6 linked regions of the Tribolium castaneum genome follow. The protein of the gene in region 1 binds, or shares a complex with, the protein of each later gene. Links are inferred from orthologs where the notes say so. Each region holds a gene or a part of one and is shown on either strand. Other genes may lie near its edges.

What was found.
Region 2: Cc2d2a (region 1) and transmembrane protein 17 share a complex: the UniProt entries of both Homo sapiens proteins name them as parts of the tectonic-like complex. The link is inferred for Tribolium castaneum from reciprocal best matches to the Homo sapiens genes CC2D2A and TMEM17.
Region 3: Cc2d2a (region 1) and Mks1 share a complex: the UniProt entries of both Homo sapiens proteins name them as parts of the tectonic-like complex. The link is inferred for Tribolium castaneum from reciprocal best matches to the Homo sapiens genes CC2D2A and MKS1.
Region 4: Cc2d2a (region 1) and transmembrane protein 231 share a complex: the UniProt entries of both Homo sapiens proteins name them as parts of the tectonic-like complex. The link is inferred for Tribolium castaneum from reciprocal best matches to the Homo sapiens genes CC2D2A and TMEM231.
Region 5: Cc2d2a (region 1) and B9 domain-containing protein 1 share a complex: the UniProt entries of both Homo sapiens proteins name them as parts of the tectonic-like complex. The link is inferred for Tribolium castaneum from reciprocal best matches to the Homo sapiens genes CC2D2A and B9D1.
Region 6: Cc2d2a (region 1) and B9 domain-containing protein 2 share a complex: the UniProt entries of both Homo sapiens proteins name them as parts of the tectonic-like complex. The link is inferred for Tribolium castaneum from reciprocal best matches to the Homo sapiens genes CC2D2A and B9D2.

The regions. Positions count from the first base shown.
Region 1 is NC_087394.1:21,750,270-21,754,408, reverse strand, and holds the start of Cc2d2a (coiled-coil and C2 domain-containing protein 2A), read left to right. Parts: upstream 1-1,339; 5' UTR 1,340-1,395; coding exon 1,396-1,410; intron 1,411-1,461; coding exon 1,462-2,099; intron 2,100-3,957; coding exon 3,958-4,098; intron 4,099-4,139. UniProt on the Homo sapiens protein: Component of the tectonic-like complex, a complex localized at the transition zone of primary cilia and acting as a barrier that prevents diffusion of transmembrane proteins between the cilia and plasma membranes.
Region 2 is NC_087395.1:14,182,041-14,184,590, reverse strand, and holds transmembrane protein 17, read right to left. Parts: upstream 1,338-2,550; 5' UTR 1,286-1,337; coding exon 1,204-1,285; intron 1,160-1,203; coding exon 1,056-1,159; intron 1,006-1,055; coding exon 892-1,005; intron 781-891; coding exon 508-780; 3' UTR 501-507; downstream 1-500. Other genes in the region: glycolipid transfer protein, read left to right, coding at 1-14, 59-209, 260-442; ankyrin repeat domain-containing protein 27, read left to right, coding at 1,708-1,730, 1,915-2,109, 2,163-2,328, 2,376-2,505. UniProt on the Homo sapiens protein: Transmembrane component of the tectonic-like complex, a complex localized at the transition zone of primary cilia and acting as a barrier that prevents diffusion of transmembrane proteins between the cilia and plasma membranes.
Region 3 is NC_087401.1:10,813,135-10,817,251, forward strand, and holds Mks1 (tectonic-like complex member MKS1), read left to right. Parts: upstream 1-1,324; 5' UTR 1,325-1,387; coding exon 1,388-1,464; intron 1,465-1,508; coding exon 1,509-1,886; intron 1,887-1,934; coding exon 1,935-2,160; intron 2,161-2,208; coding exon 2,209-2,742; intron 2,743-3,337; coding exon 3,338-3,574; 3' UTR 3,575-3,617; downstream 3,618-4,117. Other genes in the region: rhomboid-related protein 2, read right to left, coding at 1-523, 571-1,043, 1,089-1,157. UniProt on the Homo sapiens protein: Component of the tectonic-like complex, a complex localized at the transition zone of primary cilia and acting as a barrier that prevents diffusion of transmembrane proteins between the cilia and plasma membranes.
Region 4 is NC_087398.1:6,906,697-6,909,863, forward strand, and holds transmembrane protein 231, read right to left. Parts: upstream 1,853-3,167; 5' UTR 1,770-1,852; coding exon 1,622-1,769; intron 1,572-1,621; coding exon 1,402-1,571; intron 1,352-1,401; coding exon 1,223-1,351; intron 1,171-1,222; coding exon 945-1,170; intron 898-944; coding exon 638-897; 3' UTR 606-637; downstream 1-605. Other genes in the region: mitochondrial import inner membrane translocase subunit Tim21, read left to right, coding at 501-605. UniProt on the Homo sapiens protein: Transmembrane component of the tectonic-like complex, a complex localized at the transition zone of primary cilia and acting as a barrier that prevents diffusion of transmembrane proteins between the cilia and plasma membranes.
Region 5 is NC_087399.1:9,020,794-9,023,435, reverse strand, and holds B9 domain-containing protein 1, read left to right. Parts: upstream 1-1,299; 5' UTR 1,300-1,455; coding exon 1,456-1,693; intron 1,694-1,739; coding exon 1,740-1,949; intron 1,950-1,999; coding exon 2,000-2,100; 3' UTR 2,101-2,142; downstream 2,143-2,642. UniProt on the Homo sapiens protein: Component of the tectonic-like complex, a complex localized at the transition zone of primary cilia and acting as a barrier that prevents diffusion of transmembrane proteins between the cilia and plasma membranes.
Region 6 is NC_087394.1:33,825,128-33,829,164, forward strand, and holds the start of B9 domain-containing protein 2, read left to right. Parts: upstream 1-1,237; 5' UTR 1,238-1,476; coding exon 1,477-1,564; intron 1,565-1,712; coding exon 1,713-1,838; intron 1,839-1,891; coding exon 1,892-2,174; intron 2,175-2,220; coding exon 2,221-2,254; 3' UTR 2,255-2,579; intron 2,580-2,630; 3' UTR 2,631-2,861; intron 2,862-2,915; 3' UTR 2,916-3,069; intron 3,070-3,122; 3' UTR 3,123-3,322; intron 3,323-3,370; 3' UTR 3,371-4,037. Other genes in the region: serine/threonine-protein kinase VRK1, read right to left, coding at 1-344, 393-687. UniProt on the Homo sapiens protein: Component of the tectonic-like complex, a complex localized at the transition zone of primary cilia and acting as a barrier that prevents diffusion of transmembrane proteins between the cilia and plasma membranes.

The sequences.
Region 1 (4,139 bases):
CCACCAAATTTTTCAAAATTTGTAATCGAGTTTGTGACGGAACAAATTATGTGAAACACACTGTATATTATACAGCGTATTAGGGAATGGTTTAGCAAAAATTTATAGGTAGATAGAGAATGGCAAGACAAATCGTTTAAGCAAAATTTATGTAAATCAAAAATGCATAGTTTTCCCAATAAATCGTCTTAAAGTTAAAGTCCCAAATTTTGAGAACCGCTAAACTCGAATTATAAAAATTAGCGTAAATTGTAATATTATTGACAAAACAGGAGAGGTAAATTAACTTCTTGGTCCACTACGTTATTCTTCGTTTTAATTTGTGTTTTGTTATAAAATTTTACAAAAAAATATTGTTTTTGCCAGGAACGGGACTCGAACCTCCCACACAAATAAACATACAGCGTGCTCAAAAACTGGCGCACCAACTCAATGGTGTGTGGTAGAGAAGTGGTTACATATAATGGTAAAAATAGTAAAAAAAATCTTTGTATTAAAGTTATTGATGAATAACTAATTTTAGGTAAATGATATGTGGCAACGTTGTCTAACAGTCATGATCGCAATAGAATTTGATCAACAATAAAAATAAATTATTTTTGAAACGGTTTCCTAGGAAATAATTCCCAGTGTTGGCACATCTACACATTGTGATTTTTTTGATGAATTATACTTTTTTTAAATTAAAAAAACTGCTAAAATCTGATAGTAAATTTTAAAATAATTATTCATCGTTTTGTTATGGAACGATTACCTGGTATAAAACATAGAAATATAAAAAAATAACGAAAACTAAAGAAGTTAACACAATAAGTTTGTAGCTCCAGATTTTTTAAAATATGACTTTAGGAATTTTTTCAACATTTTTCCCGTAATCTGCACTTGCTTCTCAATAACGTACTACTGAGTTGGTGCGCCAGTTTTTGAGCATCCCTGTATAAGCCACAATTTTGAAAAAATTTCAAAACGCCCATGCGCCACCATCTCCATTTTGTTTAATGAAAAAATTAGCCGCTAATAAACCACCAAAAAAAAACAAGCGGGTTAATAAAAATTTCTAAAGAAAGTAAGCACTTTTTGGAAAAATTAAATAAGGGTTTTTAACTCGTCTGATCATGACAACTTCACATACGAAATATTGCTGAGCTATTCCCTAACACCCTGTATTGCTAAAAGTTGTTGTCAGGACCCTGAAATGTATTCAAGTTGTACCATTAAATGTAAAATTCCGAATGGACAACTCAACTTTGATTACTTTACTGCACTAGTTTAATTTTCAACCAAATTCCGTTATTGATCGAAGCAACAAGTGGATATTATGCAGTAACTAAGACACCAAGAATACAAACAAACAAACGATTACAAGAATCGTTTGTGTTACTCGCAGTCACAACAATGTCAATTTCGCAGGTAAATTAAAAAATACTGTTAAAATTTATTCATTTATTATAATCTTGTTAGGATGACATCAGCGAACTGAATTCCCCTATAAAACCAGTACCTAGAAAATCCAAAAATCGGAACAAGGTAACTTCTCCAGTGGAGCAATCGCCCCTTTCCAATCCTTCAAAGAAAGATGTTTTCGAAATGTTCACAATCAAAACGCCCTCAATCCAGGGAAGGGCCAAAGTTTTGACCTCCGACAGCCAAGACACATCCGAATTATCCGACGAAGTCTTCACCAAGCCGAAACCAGTCTCACTTTCAACTCCTAGTAAATCATACCGAGAAAAAATTAACGCAAGGTTCAAAAATGTAAAGGAAAAAGCTGGGAAATCCACAAAGAAGGCAAACGTTTTCAAGGAAGCTGCAGAAAATATTCGGTTAGAAAAAGTGAAGAGGGAAAGTCACGACATCGACGCCGAGCTTGAATTAATGAGAGAGCGTCTTAAACTGGGAAAACCTCCAGATAACAAGCACATTTTCGAGTTTTTTTCTAGTGAAAAATGCCACGAAACTGAAGAGAAAGAAAGTGAAGACAATTTTCAATCAACTGACGATCTGACCGACGACGGACCCGCACTAGTTTTTTCATTACCTAAGCAAATAAAAACGCTTCTAAGGAAATCAGAAGACGCGTTATTTTACACTCCTCAGGCGTAAGTAGCTGACAATACAGGGTGTTAGGGAATGGCTTGGCAATATTTCGTATATGAATTTGTCCTGGTCAGACGAGTTAAAAACCCTTATATCCAAAAAGTCCGTATTTTCTTCGGAAATTTTTATTACCCCATCTGTTGAGAGCCACTGTGGGGCTTATGGCGGTTTATTGACAGTTATTTTTTTATTAAACAAATGGAGATTATGGCGCATGGGCATTTTGAGAATTTTTCAAAATTGTGGCAAACATGTGTGGGAGGTTCGAATTCCGGTCCTGACAAAAAACATTTTTTGTTTTTTTTTGTAAAATTTAATCACAAAACACAAATTGAAATAGAAGAATAACGTAGTGGACCAAGAAGTTAATTTATCTCTGCTGCTGTGTCAATAGTTCTATACAATTTTTCCAAAATCTTTGAATCGATTGTGTACCAACATATATTTAGTTCTGTAAAAAACTTTATTTCTTCTTCGCAACATGGTTTCTTGTATGAAAGATCTACAGCAACATATTTATGTTGCTTTACAGAATACACTTCCTGATAACCATGGTCAAGTAGACGTACTTGATTTATCCAAAGCGTTTGACAAACGCGATCATGGCATTTTAGTCAGTAAATGAAGAGACATTGGTTTTTCTGATGCTTTGATAAAACTTTTAAAGTCATATTTACATAACCGACAATTCTTTGTGTCATACAATGGCTTCGCGTCTAAGAAGTGTAGTGTCCCATCTGGTGTACCACAAGGGTCTAACTTGGGACCACTTCTTTTTTTATTGTTTATAAATGACCTACCGGAAAGTCTTAACTGCGAAACACTCTTGTATACTGATGATGTTAAATTGTATTCTGAAATTAAGACACTACAGGAATGTCTCACTTTACAATCCAAAATTTCAAAATTAGTTAACTGGTGTAATTTAAACAAACTTAAATTAAATATCTCTAAATGCAAAATTACTTATTCTAAGAAAAAACATCCACTTAAGTATGACTGTAAAGTAGATCAATCAGTTTTGGAGCAGATACGGTAGCTGAACTTGGTATTTTATTTGACACAGTAAGCAATGTAATAATATTGTAACTTTGAAAACTGTCTATTTTACATTAATAAGATCAAAACTTGAATATTGCGCTCTCATATGGAATCCTTTTTATGAAAGCCATAAATTACATTTGGAAAATTTACAAAAAAAGTTTCTTAAATATCTATATTTTAAAACCAAGGGGAATTACCCTTATAGAGGTTTTCCATATGAGACGCTTTTGCGAATGTTTAACTTGCCATCTCTAGATATGCGAAGAAAACAACTTGCTTTAACTTTTTTATTCAAACTCATACACAATCAGATTGACTGTTCCTATATTCTAGGTAAATTAAATTTCTTAAAATAAAAATAAAAATCTCCTGTGTCTGCCATGTGTAGGTGTTATAACCAAATTTGTTCAGAGTGTGATATTTTTTGTTGTTCTTTGTCTAACTTGCTGCGTCTTGGCTCTTAATATATTGTATTTTTTCATAACTTTTTTTTTCTTATTATATCGTATGTTTGTATTTTTCTTTATTATAGTTTATATTTAATATTTTGTTTATACTGTTTTGTAATTATTTGGTAATTTCTATTATTGCGTTGTATTATAAACAATAAAGCATTTATTTACTTAGTAATAATAAAATTTACGCTAATGTTTACAATTCTAGTTCAGCGGTTCTCAAAATTTGAGACTTTAATTTCAAAACAATTTTTCAGGAAAACTATGCATTTTTGATTTACATAAATTTTGCTTAATAGATTTGTCTTGCCATTCTCTATTTACCTTTAAATTTTTGCTAAACCCTAATTCATCTAATTAGAGAACCTGTTGACATCACTGATAAAATCGAGACTGAAGAACCCAGATTTTTGGAAGATGAAGGCTTTTATGTCACTTCCAGTCCCAAAATACCTAACAAGCATTTATATCTTTTGGAGCAGCGTTTGTCATGTGACGATAAGTGAGTAGTCATTAAAAGATTTCAATATTTCTCAATTTATT
Region 2 (2,550 bases), on another chromosome or scaffold:
CAGTGGCTGCGGCGGTAAAAAGCCCCTTTTTGGGAGACTTATGCATAAATCGTTTCAGAGCCCTTCATTTCATTTCGCGCTTCTTCCAGTCTGTGATCGATGACTCCGACAATAATAATAACACGCAGGATTTGTCCATATTTGTGAAAAACGCGTACAAGGAGACTCTGGAGCGGTACCACGGCTGGTTGGGGTCTCAGTTGTTTAATGTACTTTCGTCATTTTTTCAAAAATTGTGGCTTATCCCAACAAGTTGTAGATTTTGTCACGGTTTACCCCAAACCGGCAACAGCTTTTCTACCAACTCGCGCTCGAGAAGCACCACAAGGAGGACCACGTTTTGCGTGATATGAGACAGTTCACGCTCAGGATGTCCTCATGTGTTCAGAAGCTGGTGGATTTCTACCAAGAGCATGATCTCGAGACGAATGATAGGGTCTAGTTGTTGTACTTAGAAATTTTATATTTGTTGATCTTCCAGTTGTAAATAAAACGTTTGGTATAGATTCATTTTTTATTCACTCGGTAGCGTTCTTGTACATCTGCAAGCGTCACATCTGATCTTAATTTCATAATGCGAAAGTAAATTGCTTGTTGCGCTGCCGTAAATTTCAAAGCACAATAGCTTGACACCAACTGAATGCATAACATCACGAACATGATACTTTGCACTATTATTTCTATAACATGCAATTTGAAGTTAGGATTGAATAACAGAAGACCTTGTAGAGGAAACTGGAGCAGTAAGGACAACATCCAAAAGCCCGCCAGTTCAGGAATCTACAATCTTATTTATTTAAATCGTCCGCAAAGTGGCCGTGATATTCAACAAACTGTGCACATGTGTAATATTGGTTGCATCTGCCGACTCAATTATTATCATTAACTTACTTTATCCTCAAGATTTCCCTTGTACCCTAAATAGAGTCTTAACATTTCCAAAAGGAAAACTGTCGAAATGACCGTTATGATAATAAACTTGTACAGTTCGCTAAAGCAGAGATACTGGAATTGGTATTTCGAGTCATTTAGTAGTTTTTCGTAGTTAGTCTTACTGTATTCCTTAAATAAAGCACAAGAATGGCCATCCAAAATGGCGCGAAAATCACGTTGAAATAGAGCGACATCTGCAGCGGCAAATTTGACATAACTTCGTTACCTAAAAAGCCTTAAGGAATCGTAATTAACCAGGCATGTTTTTACCATAAACAACATTATCGATTTTACGCGAAAGGCCTGGAAACACTTTATCAGACACTGACGTCACAGTTTCCTTCCAATCCATAATGAATATTTTGAGCAAACAACAAGGTCAAGATTATTTTTAATGTTCTGATTGTTAACAGATTGTTGGACATTTATGTCCTGAAATTGATAATCTGGTTTTGTTTGTATTAACTTGGGGTTGAGTTGCTTGGAAACCGTAATCAAATCCCCCACATTTGCTGGTATTGACCACTGCAGGTGTTTATTTTTGCATTTTTTTTAACTTTATTCTTTCTGTCCGATTGATGTTATTCTCATAAGTTTTAAGCTAACAAAAAAATGATCACAGATATGTATCGGAGGAAAATCTTCAAACAATAACAAGTGGTTATCCGAAAAGTTATCAGATAAAATGTTATTACGTAAGCAACGAAGGTCGTTCATTATTGTTGAGTACACATACCTAAAACAATGTGATACAAGCTACCAGAAATAATAAATATGGAAATACGAGACTTAAAACAGTGAGTATTTTTAATTTTAGCACCACTTACCTTTCGTATTTATTACCTTTAATCTTTTTTGAATTGTTTCATTTATTAGCTACTAGTTTACAATTTAAACAAAGTTTTATATTATCACAAATAAAAAATAGCATGGTCATTGTTGAGTCACTGGACTGAAAACTTATTGCTAAAATAATTTTAGAGCTGAAGAACTGCTTGTGAAATCAACACACGAAAACATTTTTGACTACATTGATGAAGAAATAGTTTCGTGGGATTTACCCAACCATGGGGATTATCCAGATCTGGTACCAAAAATAACTGACTTGGTTTACAAATTATACACAGAAATATTCCCGGAACAAAACAATCCCAGGAACTTTGCGGCCTTCCAGTGGTAATAATTTATAGGCAATTTGTTGTACTTGTTCTTTCATTGGTGATTTCAAGGATTATTTTTGATAAAATCCACGATTTGGTCGTGCCATGCATTAAAGCGAATTTGTTCCGAGAAGATGAAAATTTCTTCGAACGGTGCTCATTTTTGTGCAAAATTAACGTCTCGGCAAGGGAATTTGGCGCTGATGATAATTATAGTATCCCGTTATGTGCTGCCGTAATTGAAAATATTTTTTTAACTGATGCGTGTAATGTTTTTTTTAGGTTGTGGAATTGTCGGTTATAGACAAATATAAAAGTCCCAACGAGAAAATGAACTGTTTGTGCAGTACGTACGATTTAGTATTTGCGGAAATAAAGACAGCGATGGTTTCAGTAATTTCAGAAAGGTCAGGTAAGTTGCATCTTGATTTATTGTATGTACTAGGTTTTTTTAATT
Region 3 (4,117 bases), on another chromosome or scaffold:
CCGTTCCCGACTTTTCAAAAAATACTCAGGCCAGGCAAAATTCCAAATGATTGCGATTGCCATCAGGAGACAATACGTGACGATAGAGAGCCACCAAATGACCCGTTCGACCGTTGTCACTTCTAGGTTTCTTAGGACGTTGAGCCCCACCAAGAGCCCGGCAATAGCCCCCGCAAAGTGGGCCATGTACCCGATATGTTCGTCCATTTCGAGGAAATACCGATTGTAAATGGCGGTCCCAATGTCGGAGGCCATAATGATCAAAAAAATAAATAACTGGACGATGGGGAACGACATTTCCCTCCAATTCATTATAATGGTGGCTATATGTGCCGTGATGAGGGAGTAGACCCCACCGCTGGCCCCCGCAAGTCTCACGGTGGGGTCGGCGATTGAGGTAGCAAGCGACCCGGCGAGGACCCCCGCGAAATAAATGAGGAGCACTCGCCACCACCGGTGCACCATTTCTAGCGGAGTCCCCAGTAGAATTTGCACCAAAAGATTGACAAACAAATGGAAGGCTCTGCAATTAATTGGGTGGCTAACGTCGGTCAATTGTTGATTAATTACCCAACGTGCACAAACATGTAAGTGATGAACCGCCAAGCCTCCTGTCTCTTGTAGGGGTCGTAGATGAAGACGGAACTGATGGGGCCCGAGGCCGATTTGGTCGAATCCGCCTCGATTGCCTCATCCACACAGAAAAAAATGACCTCGATTAGCGAAATAATGATCATGCCCACGGCCGGGGGGTAGCAGGAGTACTGGTCGTCGTAGGCCCCGTCCACCTCGCTGGCGCCCCGTCGGCGGGGCACCACCATCTGGATGTACCTGTTGACATAGTGCCCGAAAACGTACTGGAGGTCCGGGTGGTTTATCATGTCCACGAATTCGGTGAAATCGATTCGGTCGTCGTGGTTCTGATCGGCCATTTGGTGGATTTTCCGCACGACGTGCTCGGGGATGTCGTGGTCATATTCCCGGCTCTCGATCAGGTCATTCAGCTCCCCGATGTTGATAAAACCGTCATGGTCCCGGTCGTACTGAAAGCGCAGTTTGGGTGATTGCTACTAAACTGGGGGGCTCACTTTGTCGAAAATGCTGCGGTAGTAGGCGTTTTTGCGGCTGGCTTGGAGCGGCGTCTCCGAGTTGGCCATGGCCACATAACCTCAATTGGCGCACACACACAATCACTGTTTACGTTACTAACACTCGTGTTACTACATGTTATCACTTATTATTATTATCACTTTTGTTTTGTTAATTATCATTACACGGTTATGTTTTGGTAACTTTGGGCCCAACTGGGGGAATTCCGCGCCTGGCAGGTTTGAAAAATGGCGCGCGGCTAACGTCATTGTTGTGATTCACGTGTAAAACACTTAAAATGAGTCAGGAGGAGACTTTGGTCAAATACACGGCAATTTACAGGTGCTCGGATGACATCACCAACTTGAAAATAAGGTAAGTAAAGACACTACGTACACAATTAAAGTTCAAGGTTCAAGAGTGAAGTTGCGCCAAGTGGGGGATTTAACTGGCGAGGATTCGGACGGTTGGGAGCAGAAAGACTTCGCCTGGCAACAGAAATGCTTCAGCAAGTCAGAAAGGGAGTACTACAAGGACGAAAAAAACTGTATCACAGATCTGGAGAAAAAGTACCATTCGGACGTCGGGGAATCACACACTGAGGCGCATTTTGACCTGTTTTCGTACACCAATGACGACGATTTTGCCCTCAAACAGGAAGTTAATGACAATTTCCGCGAAAATTGCGACGAAAATGGCCAGGGGTACGACTACGGCCAGTCACTTGTGGCAGCAGTGCGAAATCCCATTGGTCATAATTACGAGTTTGAGGTCATGTACATCATGGCGGACCTCGGGTAATTCCCCCGAAACGTCCGAGTGACTATAAAGCGATTTGTTCGTAGCGAATACATCGATTCGACTTGGCTCAAGCAGGAACAAGTCCTGTGTGTCGTTAAATACGACCGGAAGTACAAAATATTATCAATTAACCCCGACTTTACCAAATCCCAGCCGTATTTAATCCGACTTGAAGGCGCCACAATTCGCAAATATCACTATTTCCTTGAGAACGTTTCGGCCCAAATGCCTGAGGAAGCCCACCGTCGCGAAAAAGAATTAATCCGAAAAGTGTGTGTTGTATTATCCCCGAATTTATCTTATTTAAAGAATTTGCAGATAAATGGCCACAAAACCGAGCTTTTGAAATGTTTGAGTTTCAAACTTCCCGCCAAAAACAAACTGGCCGTTCATTTGTTCATGGAACTCGCGTGGGCGCAATATTTCGAGTATGGACCAATCTACGTCCAGTATTTCATCGACTTGCCGTCGGATTGGTCCCCGACTGACCAATCGCAACTGCAGGGCGTGACGCAAACGTGTCACGTGACTGGCGATGAGGGTTTGGCCCATTTCGGGCACGTTTTCGACGTTACGTTAGAGTACAATATCGAGGATTTGGGCAAAAGGGGAATCCCCAAGTGCCCTTATATCTACTTTGAGGTTATTTCGAAGGACACTTGGAGTCGGTATAGGACTGAAGGGCTGACTTATAAGGCCTTGCCCGTTGCCAAGCCGGGGAATTACCGGTTTAACCTACAATGTTTCCGGTTAATCCCCGACCGGATTTCCGGTCAGTTACGCCGGTTTTTTATTGGCGATTGTTCAAGCTATGGTGACTTGACTTGGGTGGGATTACCGAAACATTACGATGTGAGTTGACTAAATGAAAGGTTACTAAGGCTTAAAGCGGGCTTAAGCCGACACCGAGTGTTGCTCATTTAGGTTAGGTTTAACTAAACCTCGGCTTATTGCTAATATTTTTAATAAATTATTATTGTAGATAACATTATAATTTTGTTGAAATTGGTCAATTTTGTTCAATAGTATAAACTAACACTAGAAAGCAAAAAGTTACTTGCTTGCATTGGATGAAAAAAAAAACAGCAAAAAAAGTATAATGATAATAATTCACTTATTCTTATTCCATCAATATATTTTATCAGTATTTTTTTTATTGTAGGACAAATTTTTAAACATGAAATAAATAAATGCCGCATTTTATTGATACATTTTTAAACATAAGATTTTTATTATAACGATATTATTGCTACAATGTACCGAAATATTGATAAATGGTGACATTAATGAATCTTAACCTAACTTTTTAAAATCAGAACTGTCATAAGTGCGCAAGCGTGCAGTACTACCAACCGCAAAGTTAAGTTCAGCGCGGCTTAGCTGAGCAACACTGCAGTTTAAGCTCAGCTTAAAATGGCGAGCTTATCTAAGGAAATTTTTTTTCCAGGGGTCTGTTTTAAATAAATATGGGACTAACACGGTTGGTACCGGTCTGATCAGCGTGACCGTTCACGTCGTCCATCAAAGCCAGGCGTTTCTGGACAAATACAGAGAAAATTCCGAGGAAAATTTGGAAATTTTCGAAAAATTGAACTCGTCAAGTTTGGTCAAAAGCGTGGAGCAAGTGCTCCAAGCGTTCAAAAGGGCCCGAAAAAACATGATTGCGGCCCGGAAATTTTTATAATTGTTGTTTTATTTTGAGAATCAATAAACGTGGCAACGCCGCACTAGGTATAAACCAAAATCGATATATCTGGGCGAGGGACGATCGGACCGGTTCGGGTCACATCGGGCGACTTCGGGCTGTCTTTATCCATGTTTTAGCCCCAAGTTTGGGCTTTGGCCCCATGGTGTGCCTGGAACTGGCTTCCAGTTCACCCCTCTGTCTTTTGGGATGCTCTGGGGGGCTCAAGTGCCGCTCGAGTCTTAGCGAGGTCCCCGTGGCACGGCCGCCCTGTTGCCACGCGTCCCCCGTTCATGAACCTGTCTCAAATTGTAACACAGTCGCCTATTTTGCAAGTCATTGACACGTCGCTCCTTCGGGGGTGCCATCGATAAAATCCATTCCTGTAATTTCTCTCGTCACGTGACTAATAATTTCAATTTTTAAACAATTCGTCTATTTGTGACCGGATCGATAAGGCGGCCATGGCAACTCTTTTTTCTTTTTGGTAGTTTTTGCAATTGTGTTGGTACTTCCCCAAGTCGGGATTGGGGCCAGGCGTAC
Region 4 (3,167 bases), on another chromosome or scaffold:
GTATTGTTTGTAAATATTCACAACAATAGTTGCTAATAACACTTTCTGATGTTAGACAACTATTGTTGCTGAATATTTACAAAGAATACGAAAAATAAAATATGAGAATAAATAAAGACAATAAACTTGTAATAAAAATTTATTATCACTAGTCAATATACACGATACGATAACTATAAACTAATGATTGATCCATCAAATTATTTATATTCCCACAATAAAAAAGTTCAAAAAAGCACACACACGAAAAAAACCACAAAACAGTACTAATTTCACATAAAACAAAGCCGAGGGCGAACACCAAACAAACCAAGCACAAAATGGCGATTTACACAATGGCAACTGTCACAGGTCCACTGTTAATTTCTGCCGATATTATAGGTAGCTTCGCTAAAATTGACTATACGTGTGTGCGACATCTGCGATAGCAAGCCGAACTACAGTCGATTTTGAATTTGGCGCCTATACTTGGCTTGGTGCATTTAGGTTTCACCACCCTGGTTCAAGTGGACGATCTCCTACAAACAGCAATTGTTCTGGAAGACAACAGGAACGCAGTTTCGTCTTCTAGTTCGTCTTCAGAGCCACTAGACTTGACGTTGTAAATAAAACGATGATAATAAAGTTTGTTAAATTTTTATTGTTTTTTCTTCACCGGATTTTCTTCAAAAAACAGTATTAATCTCCTGCTAAAAATATAGTGCTTTATTTTTGCAATTATCCATGAGATTATTATGTAAAGTGAGAGGTACTGGATCCAGGCCCACTTCAGTACTTGCCAAAAGCCCGGCTTGTAGTATATCCTGTCTTCTGGAAATTCTATATTTAAGTTTAATACGAAATTTTGAGTTTTTCCAGGAGAAAAACTTTTATAGACGTCTCTCAATGATGTGGATACTGAAAAAATATGTTAGTTATTGCTTTGTAGATTCTTTAACTTATACTGTTTCTCTTTGAAAAGTTTGTGATAATGGTATTTATGTCATAGTTATTTAAATCCCCATTATCCACAATCACAGGATAATTAAATAACGTATTGGTGTTTTTTCTGTGGCAAATTAAGGGGCTAGTTTGGGTCACAACCACATTAGCCACCAATGAATACTTCGATATATAAAATGGTAACAATTCTTGAAAAATAATGGCAGTCTGCATTTCAAGAGGACAAACCTATTGGAAAAAAACAGAAATATAGAAAAAAGAACACATTCGAATTTCTTACTTGTAATTTATAATTAAATGGAATGATTATGCAAAAAGACGTGAGGTGAGTATTAACTGGAAGATTAACTTGGAGAGACAAATCTAATTCTTCTGTTTTACCATCAAAATTTCTGTCAGTTTCACGAACCTAAAAGGCACAATATGTAAATTAATAGTTACAAAACTGAAAAAAAAAACCTTGATGACTGAACAAGTATCTAAAGGCCGCAATACATTATCAAAGTGGGGTAAATTACTACACGTTATAACAGACTTATTGTAATTATTCGTAGTAGCAACAAAAATGTATTCTCCTCGAAATTTTACATCCGGTTGTTCATAAAAAGTGTCTCTTTTTAACCACAAGCCTGAAAATTTGCTATCAGAACTATCTAATTTATTAAAATTAATTTCTTACCCTTGCTTTTGTATGCAAAAATAAATGGTAACACAAGCGATAAGACCCCAAAAATTAGGGCTAGCACCGATGCTTTTGATAGAAGAGTACTTTTATAAGAAATTTTTATATTCTTTGTAAAAACTTCTAAAACTACCATCATTAACATCACAAAAATTACGTCTTGTGGTTTTTGGTCGAATTTTTTATTTGTTTACCTGTCAACTTTGAATACAAACAATTAGGTTGTCATGACGACGACTGTGTGGGTAATTTGAAAATGCTAGGGCAATGACCGAACTGCCAAAAAAGGTAACGGAAACAAAAAAAACGGCCATTATGAGAATATTAAAAAAATCCTGATTTTGTTTAATTTTCTCTGTTTTCTTTAAAACGTGTAATTTCCTTAATTTTGTACATCGATTTCCTCTGCAGTTTATGTTATAAACAAATAAAAGTAACCTTTACGTTCATTTCTTTTTCTCTCAAAACAAAAAGTACGTTTACAATTTGGCGCCTTTACGTTCTTTTACATTTTTGCCGCATTATTTTTTTATTTCTCTCAGTTTTAAGCTCCGCTTTACTTTTATACGCCTATGTGTTCTCTCAATCTCTTATTTTTGTTTACGTGTTGTTTCCTTACCTTTTCTACACTTTTTTTCATAGAAAAATTGTTACACCTGATCCGGGTTCGAACCCCCGACCTCCCCCGTTGTAAGTGGTGCTTATACCACTGGGCCACGAGGCCCCAGGTACTGACCGTGTTTTGCAGATATTTTAACACAAATTTTTTAACTAAACCAACATTACAAACTATATAATTGCAATAATTCACGTAAAACGCAAATATTTTTAGTTCAAAAATCCGCAAATTTGCTCGAGAAAACATTTTCTTCTACTATTTTTTAATTTAATTCTTCAGATTTCATCAAAAGATACCGGGCAAATTGGTGGTTGATGAATGATGACTTGATGAGTAACGATATCTATATATTGGCAATGACATACTTAATTCTTGCGTTATTTGGTTTTTCCAGTTAAATACACTTGAAGAAGAAAAAATGTGTAATACTTGGTTTTCCAAGAAAATTAATTATTCGGTAGATATTAATCGTAAAACTAGGTCACAATTTTTCACCATTTATAAAATACTTTAACAATTTATATTCTTTATTTGGAAATGTATTTAAATAAAAAAAGATGGCAATAATTTAATACTACATGATTAATAAATACTATATCTAGTTTAATTTATTAAAATTATAGTGGAATTAGTTACGACATTTAATTAGCGCAGACTAATACAATTTATCAAAATTTTTATAATTCTTAGAACTTCTAATTAGTTGAATACAACAGTTGCTCTGATGTGACTTAAAACATATTTTTATCGTTAAAAAAAATTAAGATAACCTTTATATACTTAATAATGGTTAAATTGATTCAAATCTGTCTAAGAAACCATAACAAAATAAATGAAATTTGAACTACGAGTATAGTAAAGCAATTGAAAAGGTCAATTTTAATAATTATTATTTATTACAAAACAGTTATTTTAAGCTTTTCG
Region 5 (2,642 bases), on another chromosome or scaffold:
ACAAACCACTCTTCATGGTTAAAAAACACATTTACTTAAAATAATTTTTGAAAAAACGTGACAAAATAAAATATTTTAATGATAGAAGTCACAGCTAGAGGGCGTGTTGAGTTGTTGTCAGTGGTTGTGGTTTTTGAGGCGGGTGCGTCGATTGTGGCTGCAGTGACATTTTCCCGCACATGATACCAACCAAATGGGAACAAAACTTATTCTGAAAGCACACTAAATTTGCTCATGCGTTCCGTGTCAGGATAGTCGGTTTAGTGATACTGCCATTTCGGTGGTGCTAAGTACAATGTCACAATAAGTCAGTTTAATGTTAGAACAAATTTACGTAATTAAAAATATTTTACATATTAATGTGAAACTTATGTAATGGTAAAATAGCTGTCTAAATTTAGATTTTTCTAGGGATAATAATTTTTACCAAAACAGCTTCGATTGTACACAGTTTTTATAATCAAACAGCTGTTTTTACAAGCCGGACGTGAGGTGATGGGTGGCTTTGAGGCACTCGTCGCTTCGTTCGTGTTTCAATTTTTTGTACATTATTATTATATTCATCGTATTGATAAAGGAATAACTGCCAAAGATTCATGATTTGATGCTTGGAATAAGACTGGAAGTTCGAATGCATGTCTCATTTAATATTTCATGTAACTTTACGATAAATGTCAATGTATCTTTATCAAAAAACTTATTTTTAAGTTACGGTTTTTCACGTACATCGACACAGGCCTTGCCTTCTTTCGACTTCTCTTCTAAGTTACGCTTCATTATTTTGTACATTACCGCATCCACATGTAAAAATTGTACCGCATTATTTATTTTTACTGTCTAGAATTATTTTACGTTATGAACTGTATCTATAGTGAAGTTATGTAAGTAAATATCCATTTTCAGAACTTGTGTTTTATTTTACATTAAAAATCCCACCAGATGGCGCTTAAAACTTACTTATTACATTCAAATACCTCCCTGCGTCCCTGATACTTTTGATAATTTTGACTATTTTTGGTAAAATTTGGAAAGTATTAGGAGTGGTATTAGGATCACAGGAACACGAAGAGGTGTCCGGCTTTAAGAGGTATAAAATTTTGCTAAAATTTGGAGTTGTCAGGTGTTTCAAACATTCCGAGTTAAAAATTCTGGCAAATTTTGAAATTTCTCTTGGTACCAGGATCACAGAAACGCAAAAAGTAATTCAAATTTTATACTACAAAAATTCCACCTGATGGCGCTCCAAACCTTACAGGTTTCTGTAATTTTGTGGTTCGAAATTTCTAAAGACCTCTTTGCGTTCCTGTTATCCTGGTCCTAGTAATATTTTCAAAATTTAGCATTTATTTACTGCTTCGAGTTAGAAAACATTTGCCAAAACCCAATTTTCCATTTTCTTTGATGATATAGATGACATAAGTTACCATAGCAACCACAATACAAACAGCCCCCACGATGTCCGACGGCACCTTTCTGGTGTCTTTAACGGGCCAGATTGAGTCTGTCGACATTTTAGCCCCCTCGGGCTCCGCGTGGCACTGCAAGTACGAGTTTGTGACAGGCCCGGACTGGAAAATAATCGGGGGGCTCGAGGCCGGCGTGTCCCAAACCTCCAACGTTGTCGTGAACGGAGCTTTAGTAGTGTTCAACCTTCCGATTGAGATTAATTTCAAATCGACGAATCTTTACGGATGTGAGTTCGAAATTTTGCATTTTGAGGCGTTCAATTGTGGTTGCAGGGCCCCAAATTGTGGTTAGTGTGTACCGGGGGGTGCAGCTGGAGGGGTACGGGCGGGCGCACATGCCGCTGAGGCCGGGGATGCACCGGGTGGACGTGGCTTTGGGGAAGCCCCAAGCCAGCTCGTTGTTGGGGTACATGGGGGCGTTTTTCGGGTACCAGCCCGAGTTGTTGCAACCGAAAATGTTGGCAACTACTGCCGGAAATCACTGTATGTTTGTCACAACACGCAAAGATTTCTAGTTCTAGTTTTGGTTTCAGTAATTCAGATGTTGAGTCATGGAGAAGTGAGGATTTCGGTGAATGTCGTAATGCAAGGTGTGAGGAGTCTTGGATATGATTTCGGGAGAGGAAAAGACTAATTTTTGTAACGATTTGGGTCAATAAATATTTTTTTACGCACAGCTTACTTGATTAATGAAGGAATGGTTTATAATTTAATTTAATATAAATATTCGGTTTCAATTGGTTTTCTGTCATCAAGCGATCAAATTAATTTATAATCGAGTTATCCATGAACTTGAATTCCTATGTCATGCGATTGTAATGCTTACATAAGGTGACCAACTATAGAACACCAAAAATATAATTATGTTTTTCAAAAAGTTGGCCGAGATACTAAGTTTATTTTTTATATTAATAAACAGCAAAACAAAAGAAAAAAAATTACAATTCAAATAAACTAAAACGACATTAAGTCAACAAAAGAATGCTTCAATATTTTTTTTATTAACATTATTATTGTATCCAACGTCGCATGTATATTTTTCTATTCTTTATCTACCTTTCTCTTTCACTTGTCTTTTTTAACCTTTATTTCCTTCTTCCTTTTGTTTTTTTACTGATTTAATCAATTTTCTACCTCCTGTCTTGTATAGTCTGCTATTTTTTAATTATATCAGTT
Region 6 (4,037 bases), about 12 Mb from region 1:
AGTGTAGCCGCTTGATACTCGTGTGCAGCCGCTTGACACTCGTTTACAGACGGTTGGTTTGGGCTTATTTTGGTTACTTAGAAGAATATTAGATGCCTTGATATCGGAGTGCATGTAGCCTTTACTATGGATGTATTCCAAAACATCAATTATTTGGAGGGATATTGTGAGCACTGTTTTAAGGTTTAGGATTTTCTTCTCTTGGAGGACTTTTTCCAAGTCTCTGTCAAATTTCGGGAGGATTAAGAAACGATACTTTTCACCCTTGTGGACGTGGGAACCTGACGCCACATAGTGGGGCATTCCGAGGGAACTTATATTCTTTGCTCGCTTCCACTCTTCAACTAGAAACGATTCCAATTATGCGATTTTTCCGCAAATTATTGACTTACTCATTTCGCGTTTAGCAATCCTTAGGTAACAATTGACTTCGACAAAAAGCGGCCCGTTTTTATGGCTTTCCACCTTAGCCACGTACTGACAATCAGTCTTGACCTCTTTGGTGAGGACATCAGAGGCCAGGTAGATCTCCCCAAAGCCCCCAACACCCACAGGTTTCCCCAATTTCCACTGCTTCCCTGTGATGTCTTTTAGGTACTCCCCATGTCTTAAATCAAAGGAGTTGCTGCAAGTCTTCTTTTTGGGGGGATCATTCTCCGAAGAACTGTTGTTAGCACGTCTCGGCATTATTTTAACGAAAGTGTGAAGTCTATAAACAATCTACAACATGGAGGCTTGAGATTTTCGCTCGGTTTCACTTGAGATACCTTACCCTGCCTAATTCATGTGATTACCCAAACAGAGGACCCTTCAAGAAGAAACGTTTTTTTTATGTAAATAACAACAAGATTTCAAAATCAAACGACATTTCCCCAATAACCTTATCATTTACATAACGACAACAGCAAGGTCAAGTGGCACGTCCCGGTTGTAAACAATAAGAAACAATACTTACTTTTCATACAACAAGTTAGAAAAGTGGTAAAAACTGTTATTTTGCCAAAAATCAAAAGGTGAAAGAAACGTCACTGACAATTTTCACGGCCATCTTCACGTTTCGCTCAATTGAAACGCCTCCTGATTTGTCGATAGCGCGCACGCGCACTGCAATTTCTCACTGCTTTTGCGCACAAGTCATTAAATAAAAAACGGGTTTTTGCGAAAAGAAAATTAAATTTGGGAAAAAGACTACCAACAGCCTTGTTGGCAACTGATGAATCACTCATTTTGTTGTCTATAACAACAATAATTGCAAAGAATCCAATTTGTTGTATCAAGTCATGGGAGGCTTATTTTTTATTCCTACACAAAACTGACCCCCGCCCTTAAAATATTTGAAAATCGTTGCTAGGCAACCGGAAAACAGTATTGTAAACAAAAATATTGTTTTTATGTTTGGCATTTTCTTCAGGTGGTTCTTTTATTTCAGTTTTGTTTGTTGTGAAAACAGTTATCATTTGATGGTATTCTGGCCTTATGGCAGAAGTGCACATAATTGGGCAAATAACTGAAGCCAAAGATTTTCCAAAGCAGAATTTGTTCTGTAAATGGTATCTCCAAGTAGGTGAGGTTCTCTTGACTTCTTTTCTTGATTTTTGTATCAAACAGACGCTTATTTTGCCTTTTCGATAAGTATTTCTATCGTTTTAAGACTAAAATCGACTGCTCTGTCAGTCAGTTCATGTTTATTTTTATTATTATAAAATTTTAAGGTAATAACTGGAAAGTTATTTCTGGGAAGAAGGAAGGTCAAACTCAAGTAACATCACCTCAGTTTGGTAAAGTTTGCAAGTGGTCTTATCCAATAGATATTCACCTAGCCACTGCTGGACTTCAAGGTTTATAATTTTTCAAAAAAGTCGTTTATTTTTTTAATGAGTCCGAATTTTAGGTTGGCCTAAGATTTATTTGCAAGTTTATCACTTAGATTGGCTAGGCCGGAGTCACATTTTCGGTTACGGTTTCATAACAGTTCCTACAACTCCCGGGACCCATATTTTGGACTGCTACACTTGGAGACCATTTGGTACAATAAAAGATCGTTTTGTGCAGTATTTTCTGGGAGGTGGGTATCAAATAAAAAATCCAGACTTGATCTTCTCTTCGGGGGAACGTTATAAACTCTCTACGGAGGCTATGGGAGTTGTTTCATTTGAACTGTGTGTTGTACTTAGGTAATAATAAGGCACAAAACAGTAATAATGACGAGTCCTTGTTCAGAAATTTCAGCAATTATGGAGTGGAATATGAGTAAACTACTTAACAATTTACCGACTGTTTTAATACTGTGCGTTTTGTTAAAAAGCACAAGTTTAGAAAATGTGACCACAACCCAGTCAAGTGAAACAAATGTTAAAAAGGGCACAACGTCACCAATTGTGTCCACAACCGCTGTTCCAACAACTACTTGCAAAGCCAACAGTTCTTGTTTTGCAAATTCAACTAATAATTCAGTAACTGTTCCTCCAACTCAACAAACAACGGCTTTAGTCACAACCCCGACTCCCGCGAGCTTTTTTCATTTTCATATAAAAACATCGGAACGATCAAGCAAGAATTTGTGTATTTGTGATTTAACTGTAAGTATCTATATGTTCCCTAATAAATTATATTTTTACGCATGATTTTAGATCGACTACTGTGATCTGAATTGCTGTTGCGACAAAGACTGTTCCTTAGAAAATAAACTTGTGTTTGATCATTGTGAAGAAGATTTCCGTCAATATGATACTAGATATTGCCAATACGTAAAACATATTTACGTTAATAAGACACCTCATGAGTTTCAAATTAACCAAAACGGACTATTTTGTATTGTGCGTAGTAATTTACCAGCAAGTTACATAGTCCAAAGAAAGCAAGTAAGATAAAGTCTTAAAAAAATCATAAAAATAATTTTACAACTTTAATTCCAGCCGTTGAAGTCATTACAAGATGCTCAATTCGAGAGACAAAATAAATTTAATTGGCCAAAGCCTACACATGAAGATAGTCAAATATTCAATTATTTCAACTATACTTATGGAAAACCTTTATTGATTTTAAGAAATAACACAATTGAAAACTTACGTTAGTCTCCAAATCTTAAATCAATAATCTAAATAACCATTTTTCAATCGTAGAATTTCTTAAGAGTTTTGTGGTAACTAGTTGCGTGGTCAAAGAAGATATAAAATATTTAATTGACGTCAAGAGCAGCTGTAGTCATACGAACATATCCGCAGATAATTATTATCTAAAAGCCGACACATTTTTCAGAAACATGACAATAATTGCAAATCCTGGTTTGCTAAATGTGTCTAAACACAAAAATTTTCTCAAGGTAGGTACTATACTTTTATGGAAACCAAACAGACTTATTCCTTTCCAGAATTGTACAAAAGATGTTTGTCTAAATGTTCGGCCAAAAATATGCAACGAAGACTTTGAAGACTGCGTCCAAATATCGCCAAACGACACGAGAATAAAATCGAGCTGCAAAGTTAACATTGCAAACAACGAACTGTTTTGTATTAATTTAGTACAAAACGTTAGATACAATTTTTATCATAATGGTAGCAACGGTTTGATAAAAGTCGAACTTTACTTGATTCTGAAAAGTGCCACTTTTTATTACCACCAGGAAATGGAGTTTTCCCAAACGATTGAAGTTAATTTTATTTGGTGGAACCATACTTTGAACTATTCATCGCACCTTAGTGGAAATCCGGGATATTTAGTTGGCAAGCCAATCTTAATCGCAAATATCGTTTCTATAAATGTTCCTATAAATAATACGAACTCGACTAGCAATGCAACAAGTTACAAACAACAATTACAGCTATACCGAAATCCTTCGGATTTTACCGAAAATTTCCTCGTTTTGCCGTTTGTAAATTCAGAGGGTGTGTGCGTTCTAAGTAAACACAAATATACTCCGATTGAGTTCGGTTATAATATGTATCTAAGATGCGAAATTAATGATTATATTTGGATCAAAAATCTCTCGGCGAAAAATGTATGCATTGCCGTACAGAACACAGTATTCAAATACTGGG